Ovis aries: one gene and its partners. The protein of the gene in region 2 interacts with the protein of the main gene of each other region in a pairwise test. Links are inferred from orthologs where the notes say so. Each region holds a gene or a part of one and is shown on either strand. Other genes may lie near its edges.

The links.
Region 1: the proteins of CYTH4 (region 2) and IPCEF1 interact in binary tests that used the Homo sapiens proteins (3 or more experiments, as listed by UniProt). The link is inferred for Ovis aries from reciprocal best matches to the Homo sapiens genes CYTH4 and IPCEF1.
Region 3: the proteins of CYTH4 (region 2) and FOS interact in a two-hybrid assay, tested with the Homo sapiens proteins (2 studies listed by BioGRID and IntAct). The two-hybrid records come from large-scale screens. The link is inferred for Ovis aries from reciprocal best matches to the Homo sapiens genes CYTH4 and FOS.
Region 4: the proteins of CYTH4 (region 2) and CNKSR1 interact in binary tests that used the Homo sapiens proteins (3 or more experiments, as listed by UniProt). The two-hybrid records come from large-scale screens. The link is inferred for Ovis aries from reciprocal best matches to the Homo sapiens genes CYTH4 and CNKSR1.

The regions. Positions count from the first base shown.
Region 1 is NC_056061.1:78,802,254-78,806,864, reverse strand, and holds the start of IPCEF1 (interactor protein for cytohesin exchange factors 1), read left to right. Parts: upstream 1-1,713; 5' UTR 1,714-1,859; intron 1,860-4,611. UniProt on the Homo sapiens protein: Enhances the promotion of guanine-nucleotide exchange by PSCD2 on ARF6 in a concentration-dependent manner.
Region 2 is NC_056056.1:181,325,154-181,329,944, reverse strand, and holds the start of CYTH4 (cytohesin-4), read right to left. Parts: upstream 3,003-4,791; 5' UTR 2,918-3,002; coding exon 2,899-2,917; intron 1-2,898. UniProt on the Homo sapiens protein: Promotes guanine-nucleotide exchange on ARF1 and ARF5. Promotes the activation of ARF factors through replacement of GDP with GTP.
Region 3 is NC_056060.1:84,569,716-84,574,387, reverse strand, and holds the start of FOS (protein c-Fos), read right to left. Parts: upstream 2,899-4,672; 5' UTR 2,776-2,898; coding exon 2,635-2,775; intron 1,833-2,634; coding exon 1,581-1,832; intron 1,181-1,580; coding exon 1,073-1,180; intron 950-1,072; coding exon 308-949; 3' UTR 1-307. UniProt on the Homo sapiens protein: Nuclear phosphoprotein which forms a tight but non-covalently linked complex with the JUN/AP-1 transcription factor. In the heterodimer, FOS and JUN/AP-1 basic regions each seems to interact with symmetrical DNA half sites.
Region 4 is NC_056055.1:240,657,131-240,661,611, forward strand, and holds the start of CNKSR1 (connector enhancer of kinase suppressor of ras 1), read right to left. Parts: upstream 2,899-4,481; 5' UTR 2,860-2,898; coding exon 2,808-2,859; intron 93-2,807; coding exon 1-92. UniProt on the Homo sapiens protein: May function as an adapter protein or regulator of Ras signaling pathways.

The DNA.
Region 1 (4,611 bases), on a different chromosome or scaffold from region 2:
CACTGGAAAAACCATAGCTTTGACTAGATGGACTTTTGTTGGCAAAGTAATGTCTCTGCTTTTTAATATGCTGTCTTGGTTTGTCATAGCTTTTCTTCCAAGGAGCAAGTGTCTTTTAATTTCATGGCTGGAGTCACTGTCCACAGTGATCTTGGAGCCCAAGAAAATAAAGTCTGTCACTCTTTCCATTGTTTCCCCATCCGTTTGCCACCCCCAAAGAAAAGATTGGCAGTTTTATGGCCCCTGAGGTGCATGTAGGTATGTGGGAGGAGGGCCAGGAATAGACTGGCCCTAACTGAGTAATGGGGATTTCCCTACCCCCCTTCATAATGAGGCCTCTAGCAGAGGCCCCAGAAGAGAACCCTGCCCCCAGGCCTCAGGTAAAATGACTCTGGAATGTAAATATGCCACAGAGCAGGACTGACAGGGAGCCTGGGACCTTGACCACCACTCCCCTCAGATGCTGTGGGGTCCTGCTGTCACCAAGTCTGGTGCGGGGAAGGCAGTATCCCTGTGAAGCCTTCCAGGGAGAGCCTTCATAATTGCCTGTGATCAGGTCTAAAAGGTGACACATGGGGATTTAAGAGGAGCTGGACTCCTCATTCTCATCCTCCTTCACTCTCACTTATTTGCTCTGATGAGGCCAGCCACCATGTCCTGAACCGACTGAAGGGAGACCCACGGGGTAACAGCTGGCACTGAATCGAGATCATCAATCCTATTGCCCTTGAGAAACTGAATCGTACCAACAATCACGTGGGTGAGTTTGGAGGCGTTTCTTTTCCTTGAGATGATTACAGTCTCTGCTGACTCCTTGGCTGTAACCTTGTGGAGACTCCAGCTAAGCTGGGTCCAGATTCCCGGCACTCAGAAACTAAGACGTAATAGGTGTCTGTTGTTTTCAGCCTCTAAGTGCTGGGGTCGTCCGTTACACAGCGATAGATAACTAATATATGTGCTAAGGATCTAGTGACCACATTTTGGGAAACTGCATGGTCGTGAGCCTGTTTCAAATGACTTGATTCCTTTTCATTGAAAGTGGGCCATAAGTACAGTGACATTATGTTCTTTCCTCAAGAAGGTTTAAGGAGACAAGATGCTGGTATTGAAAACGAGAAGTCTGAGGGCAGGCATTTATTGATGGTGAGTTCCGGTCTCCCTAATTTTCCCCTGTCATTTGCCTTTTCGAGCATGTGAAATGAAAGTTTTAAAGTTAGAGAATCTATTAATTATGCTGTAGGAGAAAGGCAGGCTGACTTATTTTTAACATAAGATACTTTCTGCACATTTTTCTGTGTCATCTATTTAGGAGTAATCCGAACACTAGGAGGTGAGAAAGAAGGGAAATGCAAGAGAACATTGAGCCTAAGAGAGGCTGATGATAAAAATGTGGATTTCAACTAAACCCACCAGGAACAGCTCTGCAAATGACCTCACCCCACCCCACCCCACCCTCGCCTGCAAATAAACATCTTTGCCTCCAAAATGAGAATGCAAAACGATGTACTGTTTCCCACGTGCGTCCTGGAAATGAACATACTGAATAGTGTTTAGTGATCAATGGAGTCTGACAGAGGGGACGTAACTAATTTACATGAATTGTGTTGTGTGTTTTGGAATCAAGGAAGGCTTATTAACAATAAGAAGGAAGAACAATGAGATTGGGGAAGTAGAGATGACACTTCCTCTTCTTTTGAAAGAGCTCTTTTCTCTGGCCAGCTTCTAATGGTCGTCCTGTGGAGCTGCCTGAACTGTGGCTGCATATGGAGGAATCCTCAACCTTGACCTCAGGGTATTATGAATTTTCTGAAATCAGGCATAAAGAGCTGGTGCTTGGATTTGCTCTCTTTTTATTGCATGTAAGTAAAACCACTCCTTGGCTGACGTATAAAGTCATTGCTTGACATCTCAAGATGGTGAAGCAATGGATATTCTGGCACTCTCTTTAAAATAGTGAGCTGTGAGTAAGATGTGACTCTTGGGATATCATGTTTGCTCAGCTCTTCATAAACTTGCTGTTGGGAAGTCCAGTACTACAGACACTGTTAGAGTTTTGAAGGAGAGAACCGTGAACTCTCCTTTCTTCTATTTCTATAGTAGATGTTGTATTGATAACTGCTGGGACTGCAGACCATGATTTAGAAAAACTCAGTTCCTCAAGTGTGTGGGTCCTGAGGAATTCATCTGGGAAAACACTCTGGGGCCAGCCTCTTTTGAGAAGGTGTGTTCTTTGTAGAGAATCCTCCTTTGTATGCAGACTGCTGGAGGGGATTTTACTTTTAGATAAAAAGACAGGCTTGATAAGATATCTCTGTATGAAATGGGAACTTTGGTAATGTTGGTTCAGAGGTTTTTACCCAGGACGTCTAGAACATTTGGTTTTCTTTGCTTGTGAATATGTGAAAGAAACTTAATTGTAAGAGACAGGATTATAAGTCACTAAGGCATTACTGACTGTAGTAGTGGAATTTATTAGTATGTAGGGGCCTGTGTGTTCTTAGGCGTCGTATAGTCATACACAGACTCGGATTCCTCTACAGCTAATTAAAATTTGACTTGGAAATAGAAACAGAAAGAACATAGGTTTCCTTCTGCGCACATCATGCAAGTGAGAAGAAAAAGGACTTCAGTTTGTATATTTGTTGGTATACTTATTCTTTATTTTTAAACGTCCCTCTCCTCTCTTTATTTCTCAAGTATCTTCTCTGAAGACAGTCCATGTGTGAACTCTTATAGGCAAGTTGCATTAAGCAGTATGGAAATAGGAAGTTCTTTCCTGTGGTGGCTTGCTGTGGCAATAAGTGATAAAAAGTTACTTCATGACTATTGCCTGAGACTTTCCTTTTTACTCGCGTATCCTTTTTGAGCAGTTCACTTCTGCTTTCCATCTGCTGTGGAGGCCAGGCAGAATGAGTTGGGAACTCAAGCAAGTTTAATGGGGTAAATGCTGTGTGAGAGTGAAGAAAATTCTATAAGCTCTTTGAGATTGAAGAAAATCCTACAAAGGGAAAAATTACTGAATTCTTCAGTGCTCAGAACAGTGCCTGTCCCATACTAAGCTCTCAGTCAGTGTTTGTGCAATGGATGAATGATTGAATGGGATTGTTCATAAAATGAGTGTAGTCTGGCAGTGTTTGCCTTATCTCTATGACTCAGGCACATAAGGAAGTCTAGGTTGGAAAAGGTCAGAGTGAAGCAGGAGAGGAGAATGTGAAGGTGGGAAGAGAAGAAAGGGTATATAGAAAAGAGATGATAAGGAACCTTAAGAGTGGCATTATGGTGGCCTGTGTGGAGGTGCAGGGGGCATGGAAGTGGTGGTGGTGAAGGTGGTGGTGACGTAGAGTCTGAGCTGCTGGTAGAGATGATGGTCGAGGTAGTGGTAGAGCAGTGATGATGAAGGTGATGCGGAGGTGGTGGTGGAGCTGATGATGGAAATGTGTGCTGAAAATGATGATGATGGAAGTGGTGGAGATGCTGGAGGTGGTGGTGGAGATGCTGGAGGTGGTGGAGATGCTGGAGGTGGTGGTGGAGATGCTGGAGGTGGTGGAGATGCTGGAGGTGGTGGAGATGCTGGAGGTGGTGGAGATGCTGGAGGTGGTGGTGGAGATGCTGGAGGTGGTGGTGGAGATGCTGGAGGTGGTGGTAGAGATCCTGGAGGTGGTGGAGATGCTGGAGGTGGTGGTGGAGATCCTGGAGGTGGTGATGGAGATGCTGGAGGTGGTGGTGGAGATGCTGGAGGTGGTGGTGGAGGGATGATGGAGGACATGATAGAGCTGATGATGGAGATAGTGTTGAAAGTGGTGATAATGGAGAGAGGTGTTGGTGAAGGTGATGGTAAAGATCCATAGATGTGATGGTAGAGATGATAGTGGTGGTGATGGAGGTGGCGGTGGAAGAAGTCGTGAAGTGGAGGTGATGATGGGAGGTAGTGTGATGTAGTCGGGAAACAGTTTGGGGATTAGACACAGCTGTTCAAAGTCTGTATCCACCACTTACTAGCTCTATGACCTCTGAACCTTCAAAGTGATGATTATAATAAAATGAGCTTTTTCTGCTGTCATGTAAGGATCAGAAATGCAGTGGCATAGTGCCTGCCATCTCATAGATCTTTACCAAATGGCAGTTGACAACATATTTCCTTCAGTTTTTAAAACTCTATGGTCACACTTACAAAGTTAATCACCAATTTATCTTTTCTTTATTTTTTGCTGTTTTCTAAATTTCACAAAATAAGCATGATTCATGAATTATTGATTAAAAATAAATGTTATATGCCTAGTTTTCAAGATTGTTAAATACATGATAGTGTATTAAAAAGACCATCAATATAATGATGTTTATGAAATATTGTGATATACTAAGATTAAATTAATAAAAAGAAGAAACAACTTTCAGCTAAGTAAAACACTGCAGAGAAACAAGACTGAGGTACATATGTTAATACATTAACATATAATTAATTTGGTTTATGGGCTTCCCGCATAGCTCAGTCAGTAAAGAACTTGCCAGCAATGCACTAGACCCAGGTTCGATTCTTGGGTCAGGAAGATCGCCTGGAGAAGGAAATGGCAACCCACTCCAGTATTCTTGCCTGGGGAATCCCATGGTCAG
Region 2 (4,791 bases):
CACTGGGCTGTAAATCCACACCTCTGGAAGGCCGCCTTTGCCAACGACTCCTCCTCACCAAGCTGGGCTGTCCCCCCACCCCCGCCCCGCCTCTTGCGCTCCAGGCCCAGGCCGGCTGAGTGTGCCCAGGTGCCGCCCCAACCAGCTCCCCAGCTCCTCTCTACTTCCCCTTTGTCCTTCCTCTTTCCCAGCATATTTTTAGAAATCTGCTCATAGCCCCACTTCCAGGACAGCTGGACCCGCTTCCCCTTTCTAGGGCAGGAGGGGGTGCGATCCGCGGGCCTTGAATCCAGCAAGGGGATCTGGGGTGGGGGGCGGCCAGCAGAGCTACACTCGCCCCAGCCCCTGAGGCCCTGTGCGCCCATCGCATCGTGTGGCTTCCTCCCCAGCCCAGCTGCCTCTATTTTTAACCTGCAGTCTTGCTGCACCAGCCCCACGGCTGCCTTTGGTCACACCGGGGCTTTGTTGCCCAGACCGCTCAGCGTTTCAGCAGACCTGGGGGAGGGGACCTGCGGGTATCAAACACCCACAGCTGGAGGTGGGGAGGCAGCCCCTTCGCCACCATCCCATCCATTGTATGAGTGGGGAAACTGAAACCCACAGAAGGAAGAGGCCCATTGTGACCTCTGGCAGGTTGGTGCAGAGGTGGGATCTGAACCAGGTCGCTTCCCTAGGTCTTGCTGGGATGATGGTGCCCACTTAGAGATGACACACCTGAGCTCAGAGAGGGAAAGTCACCAGGCTGTGAAGGAGCGCCAATAAAGACCCAGTCTAGGTAGCAGAGAAATGACCTTTCTTCCCTTCATTTCCTCCAGGAAGTCCTCCCAGATCGCCCTTGCCCTGGGTGGAAAGTGTCTCCCTCCCAGGCTGCAGGTCTGTGCCCCTCTGCGCATCTGCCCTGGGTCACCGTCCTGCAGGATTTTTCTTCCTCTGCCCCACATGCCAGACCAGCAGCTCCCTCAGGACTGGGCTTGTGGCCTGGTCATTGCTATCTCCAGCATCGCACAGCCCAGGACCTGCACACCAGAGGACTGCTTATTGTATGAACGAATGAATAGGCGAACTGATCAATGGAATCCTCAGATCTCCCAAGAGACTGCCTGCAGTGACTCCGCTGGATCCCTGTCCTTCCAGGACCAGCCTGAAGCAGAGACTCACCTCTTGGCCTCCCTGGGAGGCCCCGCCCCTCCTGTCCCTCCCCCACAGCCCAGGCTAAACTGGGGCTCTCGCTCCTCTCAGATCTTGTCCCTATTCTGCCACTTATTGGCTGCCTGACTTTGAACAATTCCATCCTGTCCTCCAGTTCACCTCTGTGAGCTTCAGTCTCCTGAGGACAATCTCCTTGCGTGGTGGAAACAAACCATCCTAAAGATTTTTGTGTCTGAAGACCCCAGGAATAATGGTGCAAAGACAGGTAGTTGGGGGGCAAGAATTCACTGTCTCCCGTCACCCTCGCAGCTGCTGAGTGACCTTGAGCCTGGCACTGCTCCTCCTGGGGCTCCTCTTGCCCCCCTAGTTGCCACTAAGATGTGTTCACTGAAGACATACACTCCATGAGCCACCGGGCCCCAAAAGCCCCCAGGAGAAGCACAAGGGCTGCGGTGAGAGTGCTGAACAGGCAGCCGGGAGGCGTGGAGTCATCCTGCCTCAGCAAGACTGTGTCCCCCCTTTCGTTCCATGTGTAAATGAGGGCTTCCCAGGTGGCTCAGGGGTAGAGAACCCGCCTGCCAATGCAGGAGACTCAGGAGACATGGGTTCAGTCCCTGGGTTGGGAAGATCCCCTGGAGGAGGACATGGCAGCCCACTCCAATATTCTTGCCTGGGAACATCCCATGGACAGAGAGGAGCCTGGCGGACTACAGTCCATGGGGTCACAAAAGAGTCAGACACGACTTAGCAACTGAGCACACAAGTAAAGGAGGGCTGTTGAAACAGATCAGTGGTTCTCTAACTGTGTTCCCCAGAACCCTTGGGGCAAGGGGAGGCCCAGTGGGCGGGATCAGAATGCTCTGTCTTAGGTTTTGTTTGAAGAAAGGGTTCTGTTGCTAACAGGGTTCATGTCATCTGGACCTGGGGAACTGGACAGCTCCAGGCAGTCTGTCTTCTGGAGTTCCAGGCCATGCTAGAACATTCTGAGATGCAGGGCACAGAGGTTTAGTCCCAATCCTTTCTGCATCACAGATACACAACGCAACACAGCCTGGCCCTGCTCTCATACCAGCTGCTCAGCCTCCTTGCCTGCTTACCAGGCAGACTCTCAGCCACAGCCCCTGCTGCTCAACCCTGCCGGTCCCTTCACTGGCAAAGCTGGTGTCCTCAGCCTCCCCAAAGGCCATCATCGCCCACCAGAGGCCAAACGGGCTGCAGGGTTATTATGTCACCCAGACAGTTATCATCCTCACCAACATCATCATCTTCAACACAAACCACCTTTCTCAATTCCACCTCAGGGCCTTTGCACTGACGATTCCTTTGCCTGGAATGTTCTTTCCCCGGAAACTCACATGGATCACTCCCTTCTCTGCTACAAGTCTCTGCTCAAACAGTGCCTCCTCTTGAGGCCTTCTTGGCCACCCTCTCCCATCTTCCTTATCTCACCTTACTGTCCTTCATCCTGCTTGTCACCGTCTGACAGCACATTCATATATTTACTGTCTGTCTCCTCTGGAGTGTAAGCTCATTAGGGCAGGGGCCATGCCTGCTTGGTTTGCTGGACTCCCAGTACTTGCAACACAGCTTGGCGCCTAGCCTGAGCTCATCAAGGTCTGTCGCCTGCTTCTGCATGTCCCACCTGTGTTATATCTATTTATACATGCTGCTTCCTGTGAGGCAGGCACTATTACCCCCATACTATAGAACAGGAAAGTGAGGCCCAGCCAGGTCGGCCCAGGTGCTTACCTGGGTGGCACAAGTCCATTCTGAAGCCCCTGGGGGAGAGTGGCCTGCGCTCCCGCAGCCCGCTGACCCCGCTGCCACTCGGGCTGCTCAGGCAGGGCTGTGTCACCTCAGACACACCAGGCCCTTTCCCGTTCGCCCCGCCCAGCACAGCCTGGGGAGGAAGTCCTGTCTTGCTGGGGTCTGGTGCGCAGGCTCTTGACGTAGCAGTACTTCCTAAAACCGGCAGAGTTTGAGTGGTAGGGATTCTTTGCATTTCGAGTGTAGGCAAGGGCAGAATAGAGGCAAAGGAGGCAGAAAGAGGGATGAGAGGGTGGGTGAAAAGAGAAAGACGGTGACACAGAGAAACACACACACACAGATGAAGATGCTTACTGGAGGACAGAACCTCCCTGCCTATAAACTTAGGGGCCGTTCAGGGGGTTTCCCTCGTGGTCCAGTGGCTAATATTCCCAGTCCCAATGCAGGGGCCCCAGGTTCAATCCCTGGCCAGGGAACTAGATCCCACAGGCTGCAACTAAAGATTCTGCATGCTGCAATGAAGAACAAAGATCCTGTGAGCAGCAACTAAGACCTAGCACAGCCAAATACATACACAATTTTTTTTAAAAAAAGGATCATCCAACTTAGATGGTCCAAGCTGAGCCCCATCAATTCCATCCCATAAACTCTCCTTCACCAACTCTTCCTTGAGCAAAGAAAAATTAATTCAGTGCTAAGCAGGGCTTTGCCTCCCCTCAATGAAATACCTAGTTTTTTCTCATCTAGGTATCCACTGGGCAATATGCAGCCATGAAATTAAAAGACTCTCACTCCTTGGAAGGAAAGTTATGATCAACCTAGACAGCATATTCAAAAGCAGAGACATTACTTTGCCAACAAAGGTCCATCTAGTCAAGGCTATGGTTTTTTCCAGTGGTCATGTATGGATGTGAGAGTTGGACTGTGAAGAAAGCTGAGCGCTGAAGAATTGGTGCTTTTGAACTGTGGTGTTGGAGAAGACTCTAGAGAGTCCCTTGGACTGCAAGGAGATCCAACCAGTCCATTCTAAAGGAGATCAGTCCTGGGTGTTCTTTGGAAAGACAGATGCTAAAGCTGAAACTCCAGTAGTCTGGCCACCTCATGCGAAAAGTTGACTCATTGGAAAAGACTCTGATGCTGGGAGGGATTGGGGGCAGGAGGAGAAGGGGATGACAGAGGATGAGATGGCTGGATGGCATCACTGACTCGATGGACAGGAGTTTGGGTGAATTCTGGGAGTTGGCGATGGACAGGGAGGCCTGGTGTGCTGCGATTCATGGGATCGCAAAGAGTCTGATACGACTGAGCGACTGAACTGAACTGGGCAATATGTTCAGTTTCCCTTTTCCCCCAGCCTGCTAGGAAGCTCCATCAAATCCGAAGCTCTTTTACAGCTGCTCTGTTGTCACACACAGACTTTGAGGCCAGACTCAGCAGTGAGACTCACCCCTGCCATTCAGGACCCGTGGGAACTTGAGTGAGTCATTTATCTGCCATGAACCTCAGTTTACTTAACTATAAAAGGGGTATAATAATCCTTTTCAAAAGCAGAGGCATTACTTTGCTGACTAAGGTCTATCTAGTCAAGGCTATGGTTTTTCCTGTGGTCATGTATGGATGTGAGAGTTGGACTGTGAAGAAGGCTGAGCGCCAAAGAATTGATGCTTTTGAACTGTGGCGTTGGAGAAGACTCTTGAGAGTCCCTTGGACTGCAAGGAGATCCAACCAGTCCATTCTGAAGGAGATCAGCCCTGGGATTTCTTTTGGAAGGAATGATGCTAAAGCTGAAACTCCAGTACTTTGGCCACCTCATATGAAGAGTTGGCTCATTGGAAAAGACTCTGATGCTGGGAGGGATTGGGGGCAGGAGGAGAA
Region 3 (4,672 bases), on a different chromosome or scaffold from region 2:
AGAGAAAAGAGACACAGACCCAGGCCTGGCTCCACATGCTACTAACTACCAGCTCTCAGATGTGTCACTGGGAACAATACACACTCCATGCGTTTTGCTACATCTCCAGAAGAGGTAAGGACTTGAGTCCACACGGGGATGCTCGCTTGCAAGTCCTTGAGGCCCACAGCCTGGTGTGTTTCACGCACAGATAAGGTCCTCCCTAGGTCTACGGGAACCCTCGAGGGAAGACGTGTTTCTCCTCTCTGTATTGCGCCAACTCAGGCAGTGGCCACGTGCACGCCCACTGCCTCCCCTCTCTGCCCGCTCACAGGGCCAGCAGTGTGGGTGAGCTGAGCGAGTCAGAGGAAGGCTCGTTGCTGCTGCTGCCCTTGCGGTGGGCAGCCGCACAGCTGGGGAAGGAGTCAGCCTCGGGGTAGGTGAAGACGAAGGAAGACGTGTAAGTAGTGCAGCTGGGAGTACAGGTGACCACTGGGGTGCACAGGGGCTCCAGCTCCGTGGCCATTGGCCCCATCCCCAGGGAGCCACCATGCAGGGGCTCCCAGTCTGCTGCATAGAAGGAACCAGACAGGTCCATGTCTGGCACAGAGCGGGCGGTCTCCGAGCCGCTGGGCCTGGATGACACTGGGAACATGAAGTCATCAAAGGGCTCAGCCTTCAGCTCCATGCTGCCGACACTCTTGACGGGCTCCACTGAGGGCTTGGGCTCAGGGTCATTGAGGAGGGGCAGGGTGAAGGCCTCCTCAGATTCAGGGGTGGCAGCCTCAGGCAGGCCCCCACTCAGATCAAGGGAAGCCACAGACATCTCTTCTGGGAAGCCCAGGTCGTCAGGGATCTTGCAGGCAGGTCGGTGAGCCGCTAGGATGAACTCAAGTTTTTCCTTCTCCTTCAGCAGATTGGCAATCTCTGTCTGCAAAGCCGACTTCTCATCTTCTAGTTGGTCTGTCTCCTGGAAAGAGAGAGCAAAGGAAAGCATAAGAGATGGTCTGACTCAAGGACACAGATCCCTTTTGTCTGGTCTCCAAGTTTCCCCTTAAGTTTTAAAAAGAAGTGACCCATGGGTTCAACCTACCGCTTGGAGGGTGTCAGTCAGCTCTCTCCTCCGGTTCCGGCATTTGGCTGCAGCCATCTTATTCCTTTCCCTTCGGATTCTCCTTTTCTCTTCTTCTTCTGGGGACAACTGGGGAGGGGAAAAAAGAGCAGCATTCAGTAACAGTGTCTGCCATTAGCTTCATTCACCCACCCCAGGGAAACCAGCTCCTGCAGCTTCCTAGCTCCTGGCACCTCTTCTGTGAAGCCATTTCTAACCTGCAGTTGCAAGCTGGGTGTGACTTGCATTTAAAATAAGAATCTCAGAAAGAGCCAAGAAGAACCCAGACTACAAGGGAAGAAACTATACATCAGGGCATTTCTTAGGGTGAGACTATCAGAGTCTGACTTGGATGGAAAGGGCTTGGAGCCAGGGATTCCCATTTGGGGTGTCCAGTCAATGCATCAGTGGCTTCACTCTGACCCCTATGCTGCCCATCTCCACAATGTCGACCCGCGCCTCCCCCTCAGAAGGTGCCAAGAACTCTCACCTGTTCTACCTTGCCCCTCCGGCCAATGCTCTGAGCTCTGCCTCCCGTCATGGTTTTCATAACTCCGGCCCTGGAGTAAGCCCCAGCTGAGGGAGTAGGGACTCCATAGGGGTGGGGGGCTCTGGTCTGGGACGGGGCCACGGAGGAGACCAGGGTGGGCTGCACTAGCCATTGTAGGTCAGGGCTGGTCGAGATGGCAGTCACTGTTGGGATGAAGTTGGCACTGGAAACGGCCAGATCGGTGCAGTAGTCCTAGAATGAAAGAGGAGGAAACTGACGTGAGCGAGCAGGTGGGGATGAGCAGAGTTCCCAGTGCCGCAGGCAGCAGGGAGAGAGGCAGGAGAAGCCCTCCGGCAGTGGACAGCTCGCGTCTTTATACACGCCGGTCAACGGGAATGAAAGGTCTCCCCGCTTTATTCCCAAGAATTCCGCAGCGCAGTGCCTTTCTCCTCCATCCTGCTGCTGCGTTCCCGTTATCCCTTCAGCATCACTCTCTTGAAAGGGGGTTTGTTATAAATATCTCTGACGTCCGCGCTGACGCAGGCGCCGCTCCGGAGTCTCCTGAATGAACTCGCTTTTTATCAATGAAACTGCCTTACACACCCGCCTGCTTCACCCTCCTCCCCTACCCCTCCTTTCCTGCTCCAGGCTGCGAGGGGAGGGGTGGCGGAGGGGGGGGGGGGTGTGGATTGCCGCTTTGGGCCGCCTCCCCCCGGAGGCGCCAGGCTCTACTTCGCTAGTCTTTTGCTTTGGGACATTTTGGCCCCAGCTAATGTCAGAGATCAGTCAGCGAGCGCGCGCCGGGGGGCACAGCTCAGAAAGAGACTGCCGCGGGACAGAAGAAGCAATTCTTCTGATGACAAGCTCGCGGGCCGCTCCGAACAAAGTTCGGAAAAGCTCCCGAGAGAGGGAGGCTCCGGGCCGCGGCAAGCCTCCCTCCCTGCCCCCGGCGAAAGGAGTCCCGGACTCGTCTTCCCGAGCATCTCGCCTTGGTGATTCCTCTCCGGTGACCCCTCCACCCCCCGGCCCCGCGGAGGCGCGGAGCCAGCCTCACCTGCGCATTGACGGGAGAACCCATGCTGGAGAAGGAGTCGGCCGGTGAATGGTAGTAGGAGAGACTGTCCCCGGCCGGGGAGGCGCTGCTGCAGCGGGAGGAGGACGCCTCGTAGTCGGCGTTGAAGCCAGAGAACATCATGATCGCGAGCAGTCAAAGCCGGGCGAGGGGCGCAGAGGCGGAGGCAGGTGCGAGCTGCCGGGCAGAGCTGGGTAGGTGTGCGCGGTCGCTCGCTAGCTCGCTCGCTGCGCCGCAGGCTCTGTGTCAGCTCCTTAAGCTTGCTCGCTGCAGATGCGGTTGGAGTACTAGGCGCCGCAGCCACCGCTTTTATAACAGCATTTTATGAATGAGCCCAACACGTCACTGGGCGCAACCATTGCGGCTCCCGAGGGGTGGCGCACGGGCCCGGCTACTTCTAGGGTCCCCATTTGCCGCCTCCGCCGCCCTCGCAGCGCCCCCAGTTCCCCGCGCTGTCGAGTTTCTTGATCTTGTCGGCCTGTCTTCCCGTGGTTCCTAGGGTCGCGTGGAGCTGCCGAGATAAGGGGCCGCGGGGATGGATCCCCCCACGACTGCAGCGGACGGCCGTGGAAACCTGCTGACGCAGATGTCCTAATATGGACATCCTGTGTAAAGGGGAGGGAGGGATTGACGGGAACTGCTCGCGGGCTGCAGCCAACACCGAGGGTGCAGCGCCGGGGGGAGGCGGGGGCCGCGGCCGGGGGGAGGGGAGGCGAAGGCGAGCGAACATTCGCACCTGGTTCAATGCGGACCCTTGTTCCGGGGCTGGGGGAGGATGGGGTTGGCGAAGGCGGGGACGCCCTTTTACTTCTATACGGAAACCCGGGAAAGAGTTATGAGGCTCAGGTTATAGGCGACATAGGTACACGCAGCCAAGCAGGTTAAGCCTCGGCCCCCGAAGGAATGCGCCTCTACCCTCACTCCCCATTCTAGCCCTAATTCAGTGCAAGCTCTGGAAACGGACCCTCAACCCCTCACCTCAAGCTCCCCGGACTCCAGCTTTACTAGGATTGTTCCTGCGGTTTGGAAGGATCCAAAATAAGACAATACGATAACCTACTTTATCTACGATGCTGGGTACTTTTTATTCTATATGTTTTGTTTGTTTGTTTTGCTTTTAAGGAGATAGGCGCTTTGTTTTTGCTGTTTTTTTTTTTTTTTCTTGGCCGTAGATGAGATGTTACTGTTGCTGTCAAACCCCTGAGAAACTAGCCAATAAACATCGTGCAGAATCTCTCAACAAGGATGTCTGAAGGATTCGTTTGCCTGGTTCTGAGCTCGGGCCCCGGGGCGTGTTGGGGGGGCGGGGGTTGTTCTGTGGACAAGGTCATCAGTTCGGAGCACCGGATGGAGCGAGCACTTGGGGCAGCACAAGTCCTTGCTGGGGAGGTGGGGGTGGTTCGGCGCCCCAGGAAGCTGGTTATTGGGAGCCCAAAGCCGGTGATTTTCCAGCGCGGACTTGGAAGGGGGAGGGGGGTTGGACCGGGGGCGCCTGGAAGGACCGTGCCCAGCAGCGCCCAGGCCGGAATCTTCGGAGGCTGGTATCTCAGGCACCGCTCGGTGGCCTGGAAAACAGGCCTTTGGGGTGGTGGGGGGGTGCTGGTGGGCAGGTCAAGGTGCTTTGGAGTGCGCTAAGCACCCCCAGACGCCTCTAGCCTCCTGCTCAGATGCAAAGGACAGCCGGGGTCACACTGCCCCCGGCTCAATCTCTGCGCGCCAGCCACCTCCGGGACGCGAAGTCGCAGGTCCCCGCAGAGACACAGGTCCCTATGTCCCTTCCCCCACTCTTCGGGCCGGGGTTGGGGGTTGGGCACAATGGGCACCCGGAGAGGGGCGAGGCGGGATGAGGGCAGCGGGCGGATCCTTTGGGACTCGCGGGGAGCGGGACAGCCGACCTGCCTCCCGCCGCCGCACCCCGGAGCCAGGCGATCCTGCTATAGATAGTAACAGGGAAGCGGCTGTTTACAGAAACACTGCGCCGCCAGGGCCGTCTCCAGGCGACGCCGCGCGGCCAGGCGCG
Region 4 (4,481 bases), on a different chromosome or scaffold from region 2:
AGCCTCCAGGCTGCGGGGGCAAAGCTGTAGCAGGTACTTGCCAGGCAGCTCCCAGTCCTCAAAGCAGTAGTCCTGCAGGGAATCGTCCAGGCCTGGAGGGAGAGCAGGGGTCAGCGCGGGGGACCCAGGGGGTTGTCAAGGCCTTTCCGGTCAGTGGAAGAGCCCTTCTCCTAATGCCAACCCTGAGACCAAGGCTGTGTTCTGTCCTGCCCATTTCACAGATAAGGCTACTACTGAGTTGAGAAGTAGGATCACACAGGACAGCGGTTCTCAAAGGATGCTTCCCCCGACCAGCAGCAGCAGCAGCAGCCTCATCAGAGGACTTGTTAGAAATGCAAATTCTGGAAATTCCCTGGTGGCCCAGTGGTTAGGATTCAGTGCTTTCATTGCCATGGCCTGGGTTTGATCCCAGTCGGGGAACTAAGATCCCATGAGTCATGCGGTGTGGCCATAAAAAAGAAAAACAGGCAGGACATGGAAACAACCTCAGTGTCCACTGACAGATGAATGGGTAAAGAAAATGTCACACACCCGCACACGGGCACACACGCACAAATACTCATCCAGGAAGAAGGACGTGCCATTTGCAACATGGATAGACCTTGAGGGTATTATGCTAAGTGAAATCAATCAGAGAAAGACAAACACTGTATTATCTCATATACAGAATCCAAAAAATGCAAACTCTTAGAAACAGGGAACAGACTGATGATTGCCAGAGGCAAGAAGCAGGGAGTGGGGGAAATGGGTGAAGGTGGTCCAAAGGTATAAGCTATTTATAAATCAGTTTGGGGGATAGAATGTACAGTCAATTTGGGACTACGGTTAGGATTCTGAGCTTTCACTGCAGGGGCCTGAGTTTAATCCCTGGTCTGGGAACTATTAATAAGATCCTGCAAGCCGAGTGGCGTGAACTCAGGGGCAGGGCCCGGCAATGTGTTTTTTAACAAATCCTGCAGGGGTTCTGATGCTTGGGCAAGTCATGATTGATGTGGCTTTGAAGTCAGGGAGACCTGAGTGATAGCAACTGAGCAAGTAACTGAATTACTCTGTGCCTGTTTCCACCTAAAAAAATGGGGAAAATAAAAACACGTCACTTCTAATCATGTCTGTTAAATGACATGCCACATGTCAAACGCTTGACCAACTCCCTTGGTTCAGTCAATAACAGCCCCCATACTATGTGTTGCCAGACTCTCTACCATGATCTGCAAGGCCCTGTACGATCCGGCCACCACCTGCCTCTCCAGTCTCCCCTCTTGGCATAGCCTGTCAAGCTCAACACTCTAGATCCAGAGCACTAACTCCCTGCAGCTCTCGGCAGGCTCTTTTGCTTTTGCTTCACGCTCCCCGAAGGTGTCTTTCCTTCTGCCTGAACTGCTTTTCCAGCTCCCTCATGTCCTTGGTCATCTAACTTCCTCCAGGAAGCCTTCCACAACTCCCCAGGCTGGGCTGGGGCCTCTTGCTGCACTCACTGCCCCCTGTGCCTCCACAGACCCCTGCACCAGAGCACCAACCTCTCCTACTCGAACACGAGCAAGGACTGGGCCTTAAAACAAGTGTTCATCTCTAATTCTGGCCGAGGCCTGGCATAAGGCAGACACTCAAAAATAAATACTATGTGCTAGGAAAAATTAAAGGTCTTTATACACATTAACACTTTTCACCAAATCTAGAAAGTACAGATATTGTTATTCCCATTTTACAGATGGGAAAAGACATACATAGAGGTTAACAGTTAGCTTTCTCCCTCTTTGAAGGAACCCCTGCCATTCCAAGCCAGAGTTCTTTACGCGGTGTGTGTGTGTGTGACCAATAGCTCTTCCCCCATCCCCTGTGTGCCATCAGGAGCCCTTGACTAGGAGTTCAGGAGCTTTTACTCCATAGCCGTGGGCCTCAGGCACTTCCCTTCCCATGCTCGGTGAATATGCTGTGTTGTCTCCCTCCCAACAGATCCTGACGCTGAGCCAGGCCCTCATCACAATTGTCTTATTTGGTCCAACCTCAAGACATCAGAACTGCCTTTCCCATTTTGTGGATAGGGAAATGGAGACTTGTGGCCACAGAACTGATGAGCAGAGGGGCTGGGCCTGGAATTCAATCTGGGAGACTGACTCCAGGCCTGAATCCCTGCTCCTCCCGGGGATGGTCATCCTGAGTCTGTCCCCAGATGACTCCAGTTGCCCCCCTCCAACTCTGGCTCCGCCTGTGGGAGGAATGTGGTCCTCACCTCCCAGCTCCCGGCTCCACAGCAGACCATCTACACTTCTCTGAGTCCCCTGGCACTCTGGGCCCTTTCCCACCCATCTGGGCTCATCCTCCCTGCAGGTCTCAGAAGGGGCTGTACCAACCCCCTCCAGTTGGGCCTGGGCTTCTGCTCTCACTGGGAGCCTCGGGGTGGGGGGAGGGAAAAGACACCACGGGCAGGCCCTAGTCCAAAGCCTGGGCAGATCACTTGTTGCCTCAGTGCAGAGTGTTCAGCATCTGAAAAGTGGGATGAATTACAGCCCACTGCGCCCCGTGGGCAGAGGGAAGATGAGATACACTGCGGGCGGTCAGCTGGAGCGACACCTTCTGTTTTCATTACAGAACCACTGCCTGGGCTATTGAGGGGAAGGCAGACCCCTTCTAGGTCCTCGGGGGACCCCACCGGAGTCATCTCGACTATCTTTCCGCCGGGTTCACGGCAGACGCTCTGTAAATACTTGCGGACGGACAAACCGACCGACAAACTCGGCAGGTCCTTCTTGCTTCCGCTCTCCCCGGCCCAGGCCCCTCAGGCCCAGCACTGCCCCGGCCCCACCCACCTCTCAGCCAAGCCGCCACCTTCCTGGGGGTCCAGGTCGCCACTGGCTCCATGGTCAAGTTCGGCCTCTCGGACGGCACCCGCTCCGCCTCGCCCGCGCAGGAATTTCCGCTCCCGGAGCCCCGACCTGGGGCGGGGCTGGGCAGGGCCGGGGGCGGAGCCACTAGCATACCTGGGCCCAGGAAGCAGGCCAGGTGAGGCGCTCTCACAGCCATTGGCCTCTCCATCTCCTGCCCGCCCTCAGGCATCCCAAACCTGGGGGCGGTGCCACTGGTGTGTGACACGGATGACCTCGGAGCTGGCCTGGGATCCCCGCCCAAAACTGGCCTCAAATGGCAGGATGCGACCTGACCTTCCGGCTGGCCGGCCTTCACCAAAAAGTGAGCAGTGATCACAGCAGCGAGGCACAGAAGGTTAGGAAGCCACAGCCTGGATCCAAACCCCAACGCTGCAGCTTCTTACCTTGTGTGACAAGGCCTAAACCGACCCACCGGGCCTCAATTTCCCTGTCTGTAGAATGGGTATTAGCGTTTACTTCAGAGGGCTGTGCGGAGTACCTGAATTAATAGCTCTAAAACCTTTAGAACTAGTTTCCGGACCCCTCTTTTTTTTTGCACTGTGGACCCTTTTGACGGTCTGGTGGGAACCCTAGACCTTTTCTCAGAACATTGCTTTTAAAAGCAAAATGCTGAAGATTGCGAGGACAATTACTATCAAAATATGTTAAAACCCACAAATTTATGATATAGTAATATGCATTTATCAGTACATATAGTAATATGTATTTAATATGTATCACTAACAGGACTGGCAAATTAAAATTTCCTTTTCTAGTGGTATCAGTGTATTGTTACTCAGCATGAATAACACTGAATTGTGGGGGTGGTCTCTGACTCACCTCCTCACACCTATTGGTCAGCAAACAACTACAGATAGGGCGTGTGAGAGACTGAGAATCTGAGTCATAACGCAAGAGCAGGTGGATTCACCATTTGGCCACTAACCCTCTACTGGCCACAGTCAATGGCAGCTCTGTTTTAGGAGCGTCTGAAAGAGTGTGACTTAGCAGTGGGTTAATAACTATCAGCATTTTGAAATCTTTAATGAGCATAAGTAACGTTTTGAGATACTTGTGATAACTACAATTTGATATCTACTGGTGGCAAAAACCACAGATACTGCTAATACTTCAATCTATAAAGAAGGAGATGGTAAATTTTGGTTAGAGGTCAGTGGAAATAAATATATAATTTTTTTCCCATCCAAGTTGATGGGATGAGAAGCCCAGGTTGAGCTTTTCTTTTAGAACAATGTCGGACACATACTAAGTGTCTGCAGTTATCATCATCATTATCATCCCAGGCCAGGGAACACCCAGGACTTTGGAATCAGCCAGAATCAGTTTCACGTGAGTTTAGAATTAACATACATGTGGCTATGTATACAACAGATAACTAGCAAGGACCTATTATATAGCACAGAAAACTAAACTTGATATTTTATAATAACTTGTAAGGAAAAAAGAGTCTGAATATATATATTCTTATATTCTGTATTTATCAGAATCGCTTTGCTGTACACTTGAAATCAACACATTGTAAATCAGCTATGTGTCAATTAAAAAAAATCAGTTCCACTTGCTATGTGACTGAGTCCACCTCTTACACCTCTCTGA